2 linked regions of the Caenorhabditis elegans genome follow. The protein of the gene in region 2 purifies or fractionates together with the protein of the main gene of each other region. This does not show direct contact. Each region holds a gene or a part of one and is shown on either strand. Other genes may lie near its edges. The genes, in order: Y54E10A.6 and fask-1.

Region 1 (11,778 bases), on a different chromosome or scaffold from region 2:
TGGGGATAGGTGGGGGGAGATCATTATCATAAGAGAGCAACCAAGCTTTTTATACCTAACTCGCAATTATTTAATGATAAACTGACGATCATACTGGCGAACAATTATGAAAATATAATTAGACACCCGCAGCTATACCAAGTTAAGAATTGAATAATTGCAAGACGAATGGTTGGGATCAGATTGGGGAACAAGTAAAAATTAATTAAAAATACACACAATATCACGAATCAACAACGGGCAGCACTATGTAAACGGGTTTCAACAAAGCTTACAAACAACCGATAATAGAGAAAAACCGTGCTGAGTCCCCGACGCGGTAGTGCATCGGATGCCATCCAGCGGCCATAAGAAAAACTACAAAACTACGAGATAAAACTGCATTGATTCTCTCGGGGTATTGTTGATGCAAGAAAACAACACCAAGAGAAACAAAACAATGGTACAAATTGCCAGGCAACAACAACATTTTTGGGGGAAATGGGAGGATACAATAAAATTCAATGTTAAAACCCTAGATCACGCATAGAATCCATTAAAATATTCGTCACTTAAAGCTCTGAGATAAAAAAAATTGAATGATTAAAACACAATTACAGAGAGAATAATATGAAATAAAAGAGAGGAATAAGCCACGCTTTAAAGAAGGAGACAGAATAAAAAAGAGAAGGAGGAAAAAATGATTATTTTAATATGGATGGAACGAGTAAAGGAAAAAAGGAAGACAACTAAATTATAAAAAAAGGAGTATGGTGCGAGACTTTAATGTGGAATTCCGGATTTCCGTTTGTTGCGAATAATGTTTAAGCTTGTGGAGCTTGCCAATGATCAATTGGAGCCTGGCCTGGGTTTGAGTAAAAACCTCCACCGCCACCACCCTGACGGTTCATTCCACTGTTGAAGCCACCTGAAATCAAGGAATTGATTAATTTTGCATTATTTTCTTTATTTTCTCCACAAACCTCTTCTTGGGCCACTGAAGCCGCCACCGCCACCACTATTAGAGGTAGACGACAGAGAGCTATGAGCTCCGAATCCTCCATTCGTGAACGGGCGACGTGGTGCTCCTCCTCCGAACGAACCACCGTAGGCGGGTCCACTTCCGAAACCACCAGTGGCTCCACCGGAATTGTAATTTGAGAAGTTTCTGAAACTATTAGCAATATTAATTTTCAACTGCTCATTTGATCTTACCCTCCGAACGATCCACCACCACCACGACCAACACGATAGTCGGTTGCTCCGAAGCGACGGTTTCCACCACGTTGTCCACCTCCAATGCGTCCTTCTGCAGCAACTTGATGAAGCCATTCTGGGACTTCTTGGTTGGATTCGACAATCAGATTCTTCAAATCACGACCGATTCCTCGATTCTTGTCATTGAAGAAACTGGTGGCAATTCCAAGGTTTCCGCATCTTCCGGTTCTACCGATACGGTGAACATATTCGTCAGAATCTCCAGGAAGATCATAATTGATGACGTGGCGCACATTTGGAATATCCAATCCACGAGCGGCAACAGCAGTTGCGACAAGAATTGGGCACTGTCCAGAGCGGAACAACTCGAGATTTCTCTCACGTTCAATTTGTTTGAGATCTCCGTGAATTGAAACAGAGCGGATCTGCTGACGATTGAGGAAATACGCCAACTCGTTGGCTCCTCTCTTTGTCTCAACGAATACGAGAACCAGATTTTCAGAATGCTCGTTCATCAGAATTTCCATCAGATTGCTTCTCTTTTCCATCTCGTTGACCCAAAGCAGACGTTGTTCAATATTTTCAGACGTTGATCCAACACGACCAACTGCCAAAAAGATATAGTTATCCTTGAGGAAGTCCTTAGCGAGAACTTGAATCTCCTTCGGGAAGGTTGCACTGAACATAGCTGTGGTACGAGCAGTCTTTGGTGGCATTCCTTGGCCAACGATCTTTCTGATTTGCGGCTCAAATCCCATGTCAAGCATACGATCAGCTTCGTCGAGAACCAGGTAACGACATCCGGCGAGTCCAATGAATCCTTGCTCAATAATGTCAATCAAACGACCTGGGGTAGCAATGAGGATATGCGTTCCAGCGCGAAGACGATTCACTTGATCACGATAGTTTTCACGTCCTCCGTAAAGAATAGCCGTCTGGATGTTGCTTTTGTAGCTGAACTTTGTAGCTTCCTTGTGGATTTGAATGGCAAGTTCACGAGTCGGCGAGAGAACCAGAGCACATGGATAGTAAGTGCGACGACCGTTTGTGAACGCTGGCTGCAATTAAAATAGTTTTTTGTATAAATTTTTCGAATTTTGATGGATCGCAGGTTTGCCCTACTTACCGGCTTGACCATATCTGGACCACCAGCCAAAATATGCTGAATAATTGGGAGCAGGAAAGCGGCAGTTTTTCCAGATCCGGTTTGAGCGCAAGACATCAGATCGCGGTTAGCCAAAAGAGTTGGGATCGAGTGTTTCTGGACAGGAGTCGGCTTGGAGTATCCGCTGCGATTCACGTTCTCCATCACAGCCGGCCCAAAACCAGCTTCATTGAAATGCTCGATGGCTGCTGGAACGGAGTCTCCGCTGACTTCTACGGGAATATTTTCGTACTTGTCAAAGTTGATGCCACTGTCGGTACGGTGGAACAAATTGCTGAAATACCATATCGCGTTTAATAATCAGAACATTTTAATCTCACCTTTCGGAATATTCGGCAGGTGCTCCTCCCCATTGATTACTCTCGGCTCCACTGTAACGTCTACTAATAAAAATTGTAATTCAGATTTAAACATACTTGTTGTTGAAACCGTTTCCGCTGTCGGCGAAGTTGTTGTACCCAGACGATCTGCAATTTCAAGATTTGATAAAAGAGAAGCCTCATTTCAGGTTAACAAAAAGCAACAAAGGAAATGAAGAACAAGCATATGGTTAGAGGCAAACACAATCACCAGCACACTATACACCTGTTCTCACCCATTCTCATCGAAGTTTTCAAAGTTTTCTGAGTAGCCCATTTTGAAATGCTGCTGCTGTTGTGGCTGCCCTTGAAAGTAAGGAGAAGGAACAAATCCAGCATGAGGAGCACCCATCATCTGCCCCATCCCTGGGACCATAGGTTGTTGAATTGCATACCCGTTGTTTGACGGAGTTCCGTTGGCGAATCCGTTGTAAAATACGCCTCCTGCAGGCATATTATTGCTCTGTTGAGAATACGAGGATGACCAGCTGAAAAAATGAGGTTGAAATCTTGAAATCCGTTTCGAAATCATACCCTTGTCCCTGTTGTTGTTGTGGCGGCTGTTGTTGACCGTTGTGATTCGCATAATATTGTGTGTTCATTGTAAGACTATATCAAACGGAAACCCGGAATTCGAAAAAGAAAAATCGGCGAATCTAAACCGATTTTGTACCCAATTGACGTCGAGATTACAGAATATGTATCTGAAATTCATTTTATTGGCTTGTTGCGAAACAAATGAAGTTTTAAGACGGAGAAAATGAGTATTTATCATTAATAAACGACGAATTATCATTTTTCGCATAATTTAACTCGAAAATTATGCGAAAAACGATGACAATGGAGAAAATCGACACGAAAAACCGTAGAGAAGAAGCGGAAATGAGAGAAGTGAATTCAGCACGCAATGATGAAGAGACGTTTGTTTTCCCATCGAGACCCGCCGACCGTGTAAATCGGTGCGCCTTTAAAGTGCGTGTGTGAGGAAGCGTGTTTCAACGCAAAAAACGCTCCGAAATTTCGCGAAATAGAATTAAATTTAATTTTTATTAGAATTTCTATTGAAATATATGGGATTTTATTCAATTTTTTGAATTTCCGACTCAAAATTAATAAAAAAAAGATTTCCAGGCAATGTCAGCTCACCGAGTGGCAGTGTCACTGCCAAGAATCGGCGTCACAATTGGTCACGCACCACAAAAGCTGAAAACCGGAGGAATTGAGCCAAGCCGTCGTGCTCGTCTCGAAGTGCTCCGTCGCATCGTCACCCGAACTGTCCGTGAGGAACGCGCCGAGCTGAAATGGAACCGCGCCGTCGAGGCCAGGCCATATTTGGAGAGGGTGAGGGGTTTTTTGTTTGAAAATGAGTGAGAAAATTAAAATTTAAAAAAATAAAATTCAGCTAATTCAATTGGGTGTCGAAAGAGGACCACTTGACGAGTATACAGCCGAAATGATGGAATGGTGGCTGCCTGAGAAGGATTTAATTACGAAAATGCATGAAGTAAATTGATTTAAAAAGATTTTTCGCCAAAAAAAAATCATTTTTTTCCCAGGTAATTGTTCCACGATTCCAAGACCGCGATTCTCCATTCACATCACTATTCCGACTTCCACCACAACGTCTTCAACAATTTATCCAGAATAAGCGAGAAGTCTGGAAGCGATACGATATCGGAGTTCTGGAAATCGACGGAAATCCATTTCCACAAATACAAGCAGACCGCGTAGATCAATCTGAATCAATTCTTGATGTTCTTCTAGCTGACGCCCTTCGGAATCACCAGAAGAATCTTCAGGAAAAGCTGGATACTCCGAAGAAATCTCAATGAATTTTTATTATTTTTTTTGTTTTTGTTTCGCTAGAATCCTAGAATTTTTGTTTCTTTATATATTAAACTTTGAATCATTTTCAATATTTATAACGAATTTTGTGGTTCGATTCAATTATTTATATCTTTATCTAATTTTTTTCCCACTTTTTCACCGAAAAAATTAAAATTCAGAATAATGTTCGAAGAGCAACCGGAGGTAATAGAGGCGATCGAGAATAATCGCTTCGAAATTGTCATCAAAAATGTTCGAATCGATTCGGTCACCGAAGCGGCCAATCTTTCCCAGAAACGGGTTTTCGAGAGTGTAAGGGAATTTTAATTTTTGGAAAATCCGTGAATTTCCGCAAAAAAACGATTTTTTTCTCGGAATTTCAAACAAATTTTTTTTTTGTAAATTTTATAATACTAAATTCCCATCAAAACCCAAAATTTATTTTCAGATGTCCCAATTGAATCTCCTTTCTCTCACTGGATGCTCTCTTCACAATCTTTCGTCTTCGATTAGATCTTGCAGTAATCTAATGCATTTGGTTTTGCCGAAAAATGATTTAAAACAGCTTCCAGACGTTTTTGGTGTGTATTTTGTGGATTTTTTTTTGTTTTTTTAGACGGAAATTAGTCGAAATATACCAAATATAACTGTTAAATAGCATATCTTTTCAATTTCGCAACAAAAAATTTGAATTATTTTGAATGACATGATTTCGAAATTAAATGTTTAATTCCGGCAAATTGCCGGTTTGCCGGAAAAAAATAAAATTTTAAATTCTTGCGAATTGCCGATTTGCCGGAAATTTTCTATTTTTTCAAGTATGCCGATTTGCCGGAAAAAATTAAACTTTGAATTCATGCAAATTGCCGATTTGCCGGAAATTTTCAATTTTAATTTCGCGCAAGTTGCCGGTTTGCCGGAAAATTTTTTAAAATTCCGGCAAATTGCCGGTTTGCCGGAAGTTCTTAAAGGGATTTTTTAAAAGATAGTGTGCCTACAATTTAATTTTAGGCAAATTAGGCAAACTGCCAACTTGCCGGTTGCCGATTTGCCAAAACAAATATAACTATGAAAATTTCCAGATTGCTTGCCAAAACTAAAATTCATGGATCTTTCACACAATCATCTGGATGCTCTTCCTGCTTCAATTTCAAAATGTGAAAATCTTGAATCTCTAATTCTCAACAACAACCGCCTCAATGAATCGAGTTTCCCGGATATATCAAATCTCTCGAATCTTCATATTTTCGACGCCGCTCACAACACAATTTCCAAGATTCCTGCGTCTCTCACTTCTCACAATCTTTCTGCAAAACTCCATACGATAATACTCTCTCATAATTCAATTGAAGTGATACCGGATAGTTTGAGCAATTTGAAGCAATTGAAAGAGCTTAAAATTGATGAGAATAAGCTGAAAGATGTTCCGAGTGTGATTGCACACCTTCCCAAGTTGAAGGTTTTGGATATTTCGAAGAATTGCTTCTCGGAGAGCAGATTTCAGAAGCTTGCCAATGATAAGCGTGGGAAGCTTAATGCAGTGATTGCTCTGGCTCAAAAAATTGGAAAACCAATTGGAAATTCTGAAGAGCAGAAGAAAGCTCCTGAATCCGGTTCCCCCGATTTTCCAGTTCCAGACGCCCCACTCACAGTCCGTACTGGAATTGAGAATTTGACAGTTCGTAGGCATCCCAGTGTCTCTGAAATCCGACCATATCTTGTTTGCTGTGTCATCAATAATGTTGATCTCAATGGAGGAGACTCGTTCAAGAAATTCATTGCTCTTCAAACGAAAATGCACGCGTCGGCTCTCTGTGAGAATCGAACTCTTTCGGCTATTGGAACGCATCGGCTCGATTCTTTTCAGCTTCCACTTTGTTATATGGCTCTTCCGAAGGATGAACTATATGTACGATTTAAAAAAGTGAAAATTGAAAAAAAAAACATAAAATTTGAGAGAAATTTCCGATTTTTTTTCAAAGAAAATTGAAAATTTTCAGATTTTTTTCGAAAAATGTTCGAATAAAAAATGTTTGAAATTCGAAAATTTTATACTTTTTTTTCCAGAGAAAACCCACAAATGTTATCTGAAAAAATTGAAAATTTCCGATTTTTTCAGGAAAAATTGAGAAAAAAATGTTTTACATTTTTTAAAATGTTTAAAACTAAAATTTTCGATTTTTTTTCAGAGAAAAAACACTTTTTAAATTGTTTCTGAAAAAATCGAAAATTTCCGTTTTTCCCTGTAAAAATTGAAAAATGTTCGATTTTTTGAAGAGAAATTTAAATTTTCTTTTCTTTTTTTTAAGAGAAAACCGAGAAAATAATACTTTTTTTTGATTTTTTAAACAGCAAAAACAAAAATGTTTCGATTTTCTCAAAAAATTAGGAAAAATGACAAAAGTAAAACTATTTTTAGAAAAATCTTTTTTTAAGCTGAAATTTTGAAAATCAAAAAAAAAACCTGTTAAAACCGGCAATTTTAGCAAAAATTTTTAAAGAAAATTAAAAAAATTTGTTTCAAAAAATTAGCAAAAATGAGCAAAAACTAATTTTTCCCCACTGCTTCCTCATTTTCCAAAAAAAAAAACCATTTCCAGATCCGTGCATTAAACAAAAAATCGAGTGTAAGTGCATCTGAACTGCTGGACAGTCTTCTTCGTGACGCTGAGCTGGCCAGAAAACGGAGCAAGAGAAGTACAGTTGATCCATTGCACAAGTACTTGCATATAGTAAAGGATGAGAATATTCTTGCGTGTCTTGTAGACTCTCAACAAATTGTTATTAGCCTGCCACCGATAACCAACTCGGATTGCACAAAGGTTCATTATTATGGAAAATTTTGAACAGTTTTAGTAAAAATGTTTTTGAAAAATCTTATTTTTTCGAAAATTTGCTTCAAAAATTAAGAAGAAAGAGCTTCATTTTACACATAATTTGTCAATTTTTAGAAAATTTTCCCCGTTGAGGTCAGTTAAAGATTTTTAGCAAACTTAGAAAAATTATGAAACAACGGAAAAAATGAAAAAAAAAAAAAAAAAAACACAGAAAATTTTAACTAATGCGTATTGGGCAATATATTTACCGCGCAAAATATCTCGTAGCGAAAACTACAGTAGTTCTTTAAATGACTACTGTAGGTCGATTTACGGGCTTCGCTTTTTGAAATGAGTTTCAGTTCGAATTGTGGCCTTTTCTAATTTTCGTCCAATTTTTCTTCTTTTTTTTTATATTTTCAACAATTAATTACAAAAAAACGATTCAAAATCGCTTTTCCACTGCTTTTCTTGTTGATTTTTCAATAAAGTTTCAATTTCACTGGTCTTTTTCTCTTTTTTCGAATTGGATAGCATTTTCATTCGAAAAAAAGAAAAACACAAGAAAAACTCAAACTTTATTGAAAAATTAACAAGAAAAACAGTGTAAAGCGATTTTGACTCTTTTTTTGTAATTTATTGATGAAAATTTAAAAAAAAAGAAGAAAAATTGGACGAAAATTAAAACCGCTGCCACAATTCGAACAGAAACTCATTTCAAAAAGCGAAGCCCGTAAATCGACCTACAGTAGTCAATTAAAGAATTACTGTAGTTTTCGCAACGAGATATTTTGCGCGTCAAATATGTTGTGCAATACGCATTTTCTCAGAATTTTGTGATATAGTAATAAAAATTAAAAATTTCTAGTATTTAAAATTGGAAACAAAAATTTCAGCTAACTGTGGATACCACGAGCATCTGGGTAGAAGTATCTTCGAAACAATCACTGGAAGCATGTAAAAAGACAATGGATGAACTGATTCTCTCAAGTCGTCAGATATTCCCAACTCTTTCAATTGATCAAGTCAGAGTTGTCGACAGTGATACACTTGTTTCAATTTATCCCGACAAAAATGACCTTCCAGGAGTCTCCCGGATATCTAATTAAAAATTTGACAAAAAAATAGTCTTAAATTCAGAAAATCCCCGAAAGAAAAATGAAAAATCAGAGTTTTTGACAAAAATGAGCGCTGCGACCAATCAGCGATTTGCTCCGCCCACTTTTTGACCAATCAGGATTTTCGGCGCAATTCTACTGGTTGTTCCAACATTTTTCATTGAAAATTAGTGTCAAAATATGGAAATTTACTATCAAAATGTATAAATCGATCTTTGAATTTTGCAAAAATTTTTGTCGCACAGAAATTGAGGCGGAGCTTGCTTTCGCAACACTGCCGCACGGGCAACAATTTTTGCAAAATTCAAAGATCGATTTATACATTTTGATAGTAAATTTCCATATCTTGACACTAATTTTCAATGAAAAATGTTGGAACAACCAGTAGAATTGCGCCGAAAATCCTGATTGGTTGAAAAGTGGGCGGAGCGAATCGCTGATTGGTCACAGTGCTCAATTTTGCCGAAAAGTCGGTTTTTTTTGGAATTTTTGAGTTTTTTTTTTTTGGATTTTTTTCCTTCCTTTTCACCTAATTATTTTGTTTTTGTTGTTACCATGTTTCTTGTTGTTTCTCCCCGATTTCCCCCGCTGACACTAGAATAAAAGTATCGTTTTTGTCGTGGGAAATGACTATTTCCTGTCTCTCGCTCTCTTTTTTGTCTCCAATTGGTTTTTTTTTGAATATAAAACCATGGAATATTTGTGGCGAGAAATTGTGCAATCTGTCGAGAGAAGTAATGCAATTTTCAGAAAGAAACGGATTTTAGAAATGACTGAAACTAGGTGAGTTGGAAAAAAATTAATTTTTTAAATTTAAAAGTGGAAAATTTTAGATTTTTCTTCAAAACAATTGTTTTTTTTTTGAAAAGTTCCAGAATTTTCTGGAAAACAAATTCTGAAATTTTTTAAAGAATTTCAGGTAAAAATCGAAATTTTTCGATTTTTTTAGAGTGTCTAGTTTTAAAATTGAAATTTCAAATTTTTTTAGAGTGTCTAGTTTTAAAATTGAAATTTCAAATTTTTTTATCTCAAAAAAAAAAATTGGATTTTTTTTAAATTGCAACAGAAATTTCCAGAATTTTCCAGTAAAAAACTTTAGAAAATCTGGAATTCCAAGAAAAGGAACACAGTTTTTTTATTAAAAATTTTTTTTGAAATTCTGGAATTTTTGGAACTTTTAACAAAAAATTAGAAAATCGAATTATTTTTTTTTCATTTTTTTTTAAATTAAAACCAAAAAAGAAAAAAAAAGCTTTTTTTTTCTCGTTAGAAAAGTTTCAAAAAACGTAATTTCTGAAAATTTGTACAATTTTTTTGGAAAATTCGGATTTTTTTGATGTAAAAAAAAATTTCCAGAATTTGTTGAAAAAAAAAGAAAAAAGAGATGTTTTTAGGCATTTCAGAATAAAAAAATCCAAAATTTTCCACTTTCTTGTCAGCAAATCGAAAAAAAATCCAAATTTTTTTTTAGAAAATCGAATTTTGAAATTAAAATTAGAATTTTTTAAAATTAAAAATAATAAAAAATCCAAATTTTCGATTTTTTTTAGAAAATCGAATTTTAAAATTAAAATTTCAATTTTTTAAAAATTAAATCGTTAAAAATCGAAAGAAAAAAAATTAAAAATCGAAAAAAATTGCAATTTTTTCAGCACAGTATCCATCGCCAGTAGTGCAATCGTCTGCGTCGAAGCGGATATAAAAGGAGAAGTTATAATTAAAGAAGGCTGCGTCGTCCATCCATTTGTAGTGTTCGACGCCACAAAAGGCCCAATTTATGTTGGAGAAAATAATATTTTTGAAGAATACGCAGTTATTCGGAATAAGTATGTTCAAAACATATGATACAGGAATCGCCAAATTGCCGGTTTACCGATTTGCCGGAAAAAAACGGCAGTTTGCCGGAATTTTAAATTTAATTTTTCTGGCAATCCGCCAGTTTGCCGGGATTGAACACTTCCTGCAAATTCGATAAATCGGCAATCTGCTGGAATGGAAAATTTCCGGCAAATCAGCAAGTTGCCGGAATTTAAAATTTAATTTTTCCGGCAAACCTACTTGTTGCCGGAATTTAAAATTTCCGGCATGCGGAAAATCGGCAATATGCCGAAAATAACAATTTCCGGCAAACTGGCAATTTGGCGGAATTCAAAATGTAATTTTTCCGGCAAATCGGCAGTTTGCCGGAATTATAAATTTAATTTTTTCCGGCAAACCACCAATTTGCCGGGATTGAAAATTTCCGGCAAAGCTGATATCCGGCATGCGGAAAATCGGCATATTGCCGGAATTGAAATTTCCGGAAAACCGGCAATTTGGCAGAATTTAAAATTTAATTTTTCCGGCAAACCGGCAATTTGCCGAAAATAAAAATTTCCGGCAAATCGGCAAATTGCCGGAATTGAAAATTTACGGCGAACCGACATATTGCCGGAATCGAAATTTGAAATTTCCGGCAAATCGGTAAACCGGCAAGGTTTTTTCCGGCAAATTCGGCAAGAATCTCCATTTCAACAGAAAAATTTTTAGGCAATGTTTGAGAAAAAAAACGATTTTTTTCCAGCAGCGACGGTCAACCAATGATAATCGGTGACTGGAACATCTTTCAAGTCCACTCGAAATCCAGTGCAAAATACGTTGGAAGCCGGAATGTGATTGGTGTGCATGCGGTGCTCGAAGACGGTTGCTCCGTTTCAGATGACTGTAGCGTTGGAGCCAAGTGTACAGTGTTTTCCCATCAAAATCTGGAACCTTCTGTGTCTGTTTATGCAGCCACGAATTTGAGTAGAACGACGAAAACGCCGAATATGGTACGGGAAATGCTGCTTTTTTTTCGCAAAAAGCGGCGCCGCACAGAAATAGAGGCGGAGCTTAATTTTGCAACCATGCGGCACAGTTTTTCTTTCTTTTTTTCACCCATTTCCCACAGTTTTCATGTTTAATTGTTTTTTATATGAAAAAAATTGAATAAAACAGGTAAAATTGGAAATTTTTTGAAATGAAGTGAAAAACAGTGCTGCATGGTTGCGAATTTTCGCTCCGCCTCTTTTTCTGTGCGGCGCCGCTGCTTTTTGTGCAAAATTCACGGATCAAGTGTCAGGGGTGGGCGGTAAATGATTTTTCAGGAAAATCGGCAAACCGGTAATTTGCCGGAAGTGAAATTGTCTGGCAAGTCGGCAAACCGGCAAATAGCCGGAATTCGCCGGAAATAAATTTTTCCGACAAACCGACAAATCGCCGGAAATTAAGTTTTCCGGAAAACCAACAAATTGGTGGAAATGAAATTTTCCGGCAAA
Region 2 (8,783 bases):
AATATATTTAAAAATATTCTGATTTAGCAGATTTCAGAAACTTGTATTTAAAGGCGCACGGATTAGTTTGTATGGGTCTCGCCGCGAACTTTATAATGAATTTTTCAAATTTCTGTGTTTTTATCCAATTTCCCCAGATTTTATGGTATTTCAAAAAATAAAAAGGGGGCGCACCGAAAGCCAAAGTGTTTCTACAAATAGTAACAATTTTTCGTGGTGAGACCCATGTCAATAAAAAATTGCGCCTTTATGTATTACGGGAACATAAAACTCTGAGAATGCGTATTGCACAACATATTTGACGCGCAAAATATCCCGTAGCGAAAACTACAGTAACCCTTTAAATGACTACTGTAGCGCGGGTGCCGATTTACGGGCTCGATCAACGATATTCCATTTTTTTGGATTTTTTGTGACGGCTCGATTTTTGAAATGAATTTCTTTTCGAATAGTTTTTTTCGTATCATTTTCTCATTTTTCTCATAATTTTAATATTCTATCGATAAATAAATGATTTTCAATTTATTTCGAAAATCGAGATCCCGTAAATCGACACCAGCGCTACAGTAGTCATTTAAAGAATTACTGTAGTTTTCGGTACGAGATATTTTGAGCGTCAAATTTGTGGCAATTTTGTTTCTGAAAACATATAAAATATAAAACTGAGGTAAAATCTACACACTGGATGTGAAATACGAGCAATTATGAATTTCTAACCGAAACATTTATTAAAAATCAGTACCAATTGAATTGTGGCGAAGAAAAAGCAATTTTGAAATTGTGGGGAAAATACAATTATTAAAACAAGGCAATTATTGACAAAACTTGACACGTGGAGCAGTGGGTTGAAATCGGAAAATGATGGTTTTTGAGTTGGGAAAAAACTTTTTTGGGTGGTTATTTTACATGAAAAAGTATCACAAAAGTAGTCTGGTGTTGACAAAAAGGGTAAAAAGCTTCTTTGAAATTCCAAAAGTCGTATTAATTAATAAAATAATTACAGTACATGATTTATTTATAAAATTAGGCCGAGTTCATTTCCAAAGTGTGCTCTTTGTCTTGTTGGTGCCAGAAGGGCTTTTTGAGTTTACGGACACGGATCCTGCAGGGCTCGAAAGGACAATACTTGATTTTTTCTATAAGTGGTTCAAGGTGGTGTTTGTTTCGTTCGTACGCATCCTCCAGATTTTGGCACATCACATGACATCTGAATATCAATATTAATTTCTTTAAAAACGTTATAGTTTTTTCTCACCCGCATGGAATTAGAACGATTCCCATAGTACTGCTGTTTGGACTGCACAAATCGAAAGGACACGGACCTTGCCGCAGTTTGAGCTGAGTTGGTTCACTAGTTACTGAAATTTCAAGGCAATATATATATATATATATATTTGCTAAAATCTTCTTTACTAACCCGGTTTCAAGCACACGGAGCAGGGTTTATCATTCCAAGAATTCAAGCATTGCTCACAATAGACGTGTCCACACCCGAACATGACTTTCGATGTTTGGCAATTAAAGTTAATGTAGCACCCGACTCGTTGAGGTGGCTGGCCCATTTTCCGATGTTTCTTCATGAGCTGGAGTGATCCGTATGCCTTCTCAGATAGCACCATGATATTTGACTGGAAAAAAATACAAATTTTATTAATCAAGCATTTGTGGGATCTTAGATCTCACCTCTTCCACCGGGAGAATCAGGTAAAGTTTCATTGATCGTTTCGATGGTGGCATTAGTTGTCTTGGTACCATCGTCGTGTTTTTTGTAGAGATACAGTCCGTCCAGCTGAAGAAAAATGAATTTTAAACTAGACATTTTTAAATTAACAGGCGCCTACCAATACGAAAACCCATCTTCAGGATTATTGATATTTGTGAAAAAATCCAGTTTTATATAGTCGTTTTTTTGTCGAGAAAGGTCCGGCGCCCTCTGTCCATCGTCTTTTGTCCTGTAATAGACATTCTATTGTTAACACTTCCACACTTCCGCCAAAACTCACCACATAGGGAGTCCGAAATCCTGTGCAACGGATCCATCAAGATGTGCAACATTTTTCTTTTCTGTGTAGTATAGGAGCTTAAATGGCTCAGCAAGCTCGACGTTTTTCTAAATTCTTGAAATTGATATCGAAATCGAAACTATTAAAAGGCGAAAATTACCTTAAAAATCACGTAAATTGAAAAATGGATTTTTCGTCTGGCGGTCATCGTCTCGAAAATGTCATCAGCGACAATACATACGGGCTTTGGATCCACGCCATCAGCAAACGGTGGAGTGATAACATTCATGTTCTGAAATTTCTGCTGTAATTAAATTAATTTAAATTATCGAAAAATTAAAAAAAAAGAGACCTATTGGTTGATTGGAAAAAGAAATGAAGCAAGTTTTCAGGAACTAAAATGTAGAAACTAATGAATTTAATGAATTTTAGAAAGATGATCAGAGAAGAAATGATCAGGGCCGGAATGTCACTCGAAATTGGGTCACGCGCGTGAATTTTTAATTTTAGTTTTTCCCCGGTTTTTTCTTTTAGAAAGTGGACAAAACCGTTTGTAGAGACCTCCAGAGGTCAAGATCAAATTGTCACAAAAAAAAGTATAAATATAATCACGTATAATCACGCCAGGCTGTCCCATCACGGTTTGATCTACAAAAAATGCGGGAATTTTTTGCCAGAAAAAAAAGTGACGTCAGCACGTTCTTAACCATCCAAAATAAGTTGAGAACTCTGCGTCTCTTTTCCCGCATTTTTTGTAGATCAATGTAGATCAAACCGAAATGAGACACTCTGACACCACGTGATAAGATCTTAAATATAAGACTATTTAAATTTGTAATTGAAACCTGAAAATTGCCACCCAAGAGAAAAGAAAAAATAGAAGAAAAAACCAACAGGAAAGACAAATAAAATTTGATCAATAAACAATAAATTCCCGCAAAAATATTCATATTCTGTTCAAAAGACAGTTCACAGAAAATTCTAAAATTTCATCGAAACCTTTATAAATTTGTTTTATTATAATCTCAAATCTAAAAAATATTGAATAAAAATGAATAACAACAAAACAATAAAGACTAGGGGCGCTAGAAATATAATCTTTTATCAAAAAAATTAATTCTTCTTATGTATTTTATCCCGTAGCAGATTCACTTGATCAATTTCTGTGGAGCAATAGTCGAGTTCCGTTTTGAAGACGACTACTGGATCGAAGCCAGCGGAACGCATCAGTCGAAGTCCCAATTGTTCTTGCCCAACTGTATTGATTTCGCCGCTCGTTTCTGTGTTCTGAAATTTAGAATTTTATATGATTTTATGAGATTCGAAAATGCTTACCTGTTTAGTTTGCAACCATCCGTAGAAAAATAGAGGCCTGGGTTTTTTCGAGCCCCATTGTGATGTGTTCACTAGCAAGTTGGAATTCTGAAAAAAAAAACATTTTTTTTCAAAAATATTTTTTAATTGAAAATAATATACCGGATCTGGCATAACATAGGCATCGACAAAAGCTCCACAATCTTCAACATTCGGAAGTTGACAATGAGTATCTTGTGGAGCAAGTTTGAATAATGACTTTAAAAAATATCGATCGCATTCTGAATGATTGCTCGAATATTTCAGTTGCCTCGCGTTCCGAATCGTTTTCGCGTCGAAATTGATTCCAAATCGAGCAAATGTTTCCTTATTCACTGTTGGTCCTTCGTATTTTCCCTGCATATCAACTTTAGCCGCTGAACTGATCATTAGAAGAGTCATCGCTTTTCGGAGTCGATCGTGAATTTCCCTGAAAAATTGGGAAATTATTGACAATTTTTGATATTATAAATGGGGATGCAGAAAAATGCCTTTTGAAAACACTCCGCCCTTAAACCTTGGGTCTCGTTAGGTATTGACAATAAGGAAGTCAGTTTTTCAACTTTTAAAACTAAAATTGGAGAAAAAAAACCACATTTTGGCCTTTTTTTGGAAAAATTATATGTTGTTTTTTCATCATCATAAACAAAATTTGAATTTTTTGGTAAATTTTCAGCATTTTTTTCGAGTTTCTGCAAAATCGACTATTTTTAGTTTTCCCTAGCAAAAACCGAAAAAGCAAAAAAAAATTGGCATTTTTTTCGTGTTTCCCAGCATTTTAAATTTATATTGTGATTTTTAAAAATATTTTTCTTTTAACTTAAAAAATTTTTAAAAACTTTTTTTCTAATAATTTTAATGTCGAAATTGAGATAAAATTCATATCGATTTTCCGGAGTTTTCGAAAAATCTTTAGAAAATGTTTCGAAAATTAATAATAAAAATTTATTTGTTTGCTCATTTTGAAAAAAAATCAAAATCATTGTCTTCAAAAAAAAATCCTAAATTTTTAAGCAATTTTCGAAAAAATCGAATTTGTTTAGGAATGTCGCAAAACTAAATTTTTGATTTTTGAATTTTCGGAAAAATCGGAAAACCGAAAACCTAACGAGACCCAACGTTTAGTTGCGGAGTGTTTTAATTTGGAGCGCGTTTGCACCTCTTCAATTTCCAAATAATTTCTTACATTGTTGAATTCATGATTTGATCTACAAAACTCTTATTGAGCACCGAATCCGCATGAACTGCTTCAAGTTCTTGAAAATATGCAAGAGAAAAGACGATATTCAGCCAATTGTTGGGCGTCGAAGCTTTTTCCTTCACCAAAAATGGTTTGAGCGCTTTTGCCAACGGTTTTCCAGATGGTTCTCCAATTCTAGCGAGCCCGGAGACAAATTTGCTCAATCGAGCCGGATGTGCTTGCTTCACATTTTCAATTGCCCATCGAACAAGAAGATTCCATGACTTTTGATCACCCATTCTCATACGAATAAATGAATCGGCAATGCTGAGCACATCATCCCATTGAGCAAGAACATTCGAATTTTTCTCGAGGTCGTTGGAGATTTTCCGTGCAATTTTTGGTGGATAATAGGTGAGAGCAGAACATGAGCCGGTGACACTGACAATTTGTGATACTGTAAGAACTTGACTGGAACTGGAAATCGCGTTGATTATTGCTCCAAGTAGCTGTCGATTTCTTTGCTTATTCACTGCCATATGCTTCAAAAGAGCACATTTTTCAGCCATTCCCATTACTGCTACAAGTCGTTCGGCTTTTTTGAGGAACGCTTCGTTGTGAAACCATTTTGATTTTTCGTATCCATCACCGGCGAGAATTGCTAGGAGATCTGCAGGATTTGCCAGTTCTCTGGAAAATTAGATATTAAATAGAGCTTTTAAATCTAAATTATTTAATTACTTTTCGATTCTAGAAATCAATGAAGTCGCAATAGATTCGATAACATTTTGATCGATTGAAGATTTTGAATATCGAATGATCATCACAAGTGTGTCAAATGGAACAGTTTGTAGATCGGATTGACTTATTTCTGAAATTTTACGTTTTATTTGAAATATCTTTCGGAAAATGTTTAGGAAAACGCACAATACTACTGAAAATCAACTTTTTTTTTTCTAAAATTGATGAAAAGGATTCGTTCCATCTGATAAAATATTATTAATAATTTTTTTTGTTGAAAAATTTAAATAAGGCCACTAGGCCTCACCTCTACCTTTAGGTTGAGCACCGAAATCTGAGAAAAATATTTTTGAATCACTCCAAATTTTCTCCTTTCACTTGCGTCCAAATGAGATTTTTCAAACGCCGAATTTTCGCGCCAGAGACGAGCCATGTGTCGATTTACGAGAATTTTAATCTTTATCAGATGCTGATTTCTGTTTTCAACGAGTTTCCTTAATTTTCGTCGATTTTTGCCGAATTTTTTTTAAATGAAAATGTGTTTTTAAGTCAATTAAACATTATATTATCAAAAAACTAACAAAATTTCCAATTTTTCATTTTCAACAAAACTAAAAATTATTTTCAGATGGAGCGAATCTTTTTCTACATTTTTTAAAATCAATTTTAGATCAAAAAAGTAGAATTATCATATTCAAATAAGTAGTTTTGTTGGATAAATCATACTTTTTTCAAGGAACAAATTCTGAATATCCGTCGAGACTTTTCCCTTTGAATTCAGCTGCAAAACAAATCGCAATGCATCCACTGTCTCCTTCGGTCCAAAATTTTCATAGAATTTCGGCAGAACTTTCTTCGCAATATCATCAATTTTCGAAAACGCCTTATTTTGTTCCGTTGATTTCACAGTGATAGCCATTTGTGCAGCTGTGATGAATTGATCAATCGATTTTATGGGATTTTGTTCGAGCCACTTAAATAATTGAACAATTTAAATGGAGCTTAAGCTTATTGAGTACCTTGAAAAATTCCGTCGAAGTTTCTAATACAGTTCTGTTTTTCACGAGCTTCTGTGTTGGAGCAGCGGCGATGGAATGGAGGAAATCTGGAATTCAAATATTTTTTGATGTTTTTTGCATTATTCTACTTTTTTTTACTAAAAATAACCCGAAAAGCTTATTGCGAAACTTCAAAAATGTCGAAAAACACTTGATTTTAGCTAAAATCTCACATTTCGCAAAATTTTTCAAATATTTTGCCAAATTTCCCTTTTATTAAATTTTTGTCTTATTTTGGTCATTTATCACATGTTTTTTCGTAAAAATTGGTACATTTAAAGCCAAATTTGCTTAAAATTACCCTAAATTTACGAAATAACGTAAAATAAACCAAAGTAGCACAATAATCGAATTAAAATTATTTTCCGGCCGCTCTAAAGTTGGTCAAGTTGGAGATTCTAGCGGAAATTAGCTATTTTTTGAAATTTTTTTGACAATTTTAATAAAATTCTGGCCATTTAGAGCAAAAAAAATCTGCACCTACCATCAATTTCTGCAGGACCAGCTCCACTTTGAGCTGCGACGGAAAACTGACGACACGGAATCGTCCTGCAAAGCGTGGGTAATCCACGGCTCCACATTCTAGATATTTGCAATTTTTTTAAAAAAATATCAAGATTTGAACAAGAAAAGTACGAAAATGAGACGGAAACATATAAAATTTTACAAAATTTCTAAGATTAAATTTGAAAAAACTGATTTATCGACTGCAAAAAATGGGTTTAAAAAAAAAGGAATAACAACTCAAAACAACAATGAATAAGAAAAAAAGAACAGCTAATTGCCTAGAATCGGAGCACAAGCTTTCAGATGTTGCTGAGCAACTACTGCGAGACATTCGTACACGTCAGCACACGTGGCTTTCGCTGCATCCATGACTGTGGAAAGATGATCAATGTGAAGACGATTTTGAAGTTCCACGAGAATCACTTCGTCACGACCGCAGATTGTGGCGAGCTGAAAATTTTAAGCAATTATTTTTTAACGAAAAATCGAAAGTTTGTGTTTTTTCCCGATTTTTCGGAAAATAACTTAAAATTTTGGACATTTTTTTTTTTAGAATAGCAACCAAAATATGATTTCGGTTCCCGGAATATTGAAATTACGGCAATTTTTGAGAAGTCTCATTACAAAATTCATTAAATTAGACAATTTTTCAGCCTAAACATACAGTAACTCTGGGAAGGAGATCAGTTTCTTCTCTAGAAGTAAGATCAACAATTGGTTTTCCATCGACAACACCACACGTCGCTGCAGATGCGATGCCTTTCATTGGGATTCCTGCATCAGCAAGAGCCAAAGAAGTTGCATTGACACAGGCGGCCAGGTTGGAGCCGTCTCCTTGGATTACTTCACAGAAAATATCAAGTTGTGATCGAGGAAATGCTTCCGTCAGAATAACTGATTCGAATGCTTTCTCAAGAAGTCTGCTGATTTCAGTTGATTTTCGATCTCCACGTGTACGATTTTTTCTTTCAAGTCCCGAAAACTTTGTTGCACTATACTGACAAACAATGGCACATTTATCTTCGATTCTTTTTGACGATTTGCCTTCATACGGACCATAAACTGCACAAAGAACCTGAAAAGAGAATAATGTAACTTGAAATTAAATTCAAAACTTAAAAAAAAACCAACCTTGGTATTACCATGTTCCAGATAACAGCTTCCCTCCGCATTTCTGTTCAAGCCAAGACGAGTGTTAATGTTACGAATCTGAGCGGGACGGCGGCCGTCAATACGGAAACCATGTTCAGAGATGATGTTCATTGTCTGCAAAAGATTATTCGTGATTTTTTAAAAGAAATTATGGAAAATCTCACTTATTTTCTTCAATAACTGGAGTAGTTTCAACAGGAGTGGCTTCTGGAGCTGGGACCGCTGGCTCTGGCTTAGCGGATTTGATTGCTTCGGTTGGCGATTGCTCTCCTTGCTTGAAAAGTGCTTTTGGTGCTTGTTCTGCGAATACTAGCATAAACCGACGGTTCACTAGCATCTGCTTGTCAATACCTGAAATTTTGATTACAAAATCGTGTTTATACAATACAATAAATCTTACATTGACTGACACAGGACCCTTCGTCCTTTGTGAGTGTTGATGTGGTGTAGTCACGAGCGCAGGCGTTGAAACAACGTTCGCTGAGAGTGTTGTAGACGGTTAGAAATTCACGAAGCTGAAATTAAAGACATAAATGCGCGGGAGAGGATTTTCCTTTTTTCTGAGCACCTGTTGAATATTTTGAATAGTATTCATAAAGCATAAAACAGTCAACGCCCCGAAATGAGAATAATCTGAAATTTGAAGTTAAGAAAATGAGTAAAAAATTAAATAAAGAGAAAAAATTTGCATGCAAAATGCAACAAAAAAAACAAAAAGTTTCTGTGTATTTTACCGTCACGGTGTTTGCGGAAGTTTAAAGGCGCAGCGCTTTTCATGATTTCAATATC

The links.
Region 1: the proteins of fask-1 (region 2) and Y54E10A.6 fractionate together in Caenorhabditis elegans (co-fractionation; one large-scale study listed by BioGRID). This does not show direct contact.

The regions. Positions count from the first base shown.
Region 1 is NC_003279.8:3,158,961-3,170,738, forward strand, and holds Y54E10A.6 (B3/B4 tRNA-binding domain-containing protein), read left to right. Parts: upstream 1-4,727; 5' UTR 4,728-4,731; coding exon 4,732-4,860; intron 4,861-4,996; coding exon 4,997-5,129; intron 5,130-5,630; coding exon 5,631-6,457; intron 6,458-7,148; coding exon 7,149-7,370; intron 7,371-8,260; coding exon 8,261-8,473; 3' UTR 8,474-9,097; downstream 9,098-11,778. Other genes in the region: vbh-1 (RNA helicase), read right to left, coding at 804-907, 963-1,147, 1,195-2,255, 2,324-2,636, 2,683-2,733, 2,779-2,829, 2,958-3,175; mrpl-17 (Large ribosomal subunit protein bL17m), read left to right, coding at 3,856-4,062, 4,124-4,225, 4,278-4,553; dnc-6 (Dynactin subunit 6), read left to right, coding at 9,252-9,265, 10,135-10,308, 11,046-11,292.
Region 2 is NC_003282.8:13,098,849-13,107,631, reverse strand, and holds fask-1 (RAP domain-containing protein), read right to left. Parts: upstream 6,918-8,783; 5' UTR 6,917-6,917; coding exon 6,820-6,916; intron 6,383-6,819; coding exon 6,297-6,382; intron 6,251-6,296; coding exon 6,004-6,250; intron 5,408-6,003; coding exon 5,278-5,407; intron 5,227-5,277; coding exon 4,543-5,226; intron 3,787-4,542; coding exon 3,480-3,786; intron 3,426-3,479; coding exon 3,339-3,425; intron 3,291-3,338; coding exon 3,117-3,290; 3' UTR 3,005-3,116; downstream 1-3,004. Other genes in the region: rde-11 (RNA interference defective protein 11), read right to left, coding at 1,024-1,207, 1,256-1,358, 1,418-1,628, 1,684-1,789, 1,842-1,952, 2,004-2,110, 2,164-2,292; exos-4.1 (Putative exosome complex component RRP41), read right to left, coding at 7,113-7,292, 7,507-7,917, 7,974-8,105; tin-9.2 (Mitochondrial import inner membrane translocase subunit Tim10B), read right to left, coding at 8,102-8,108, 8,159-8,345, 8,395-8,509, 8,563-8,589.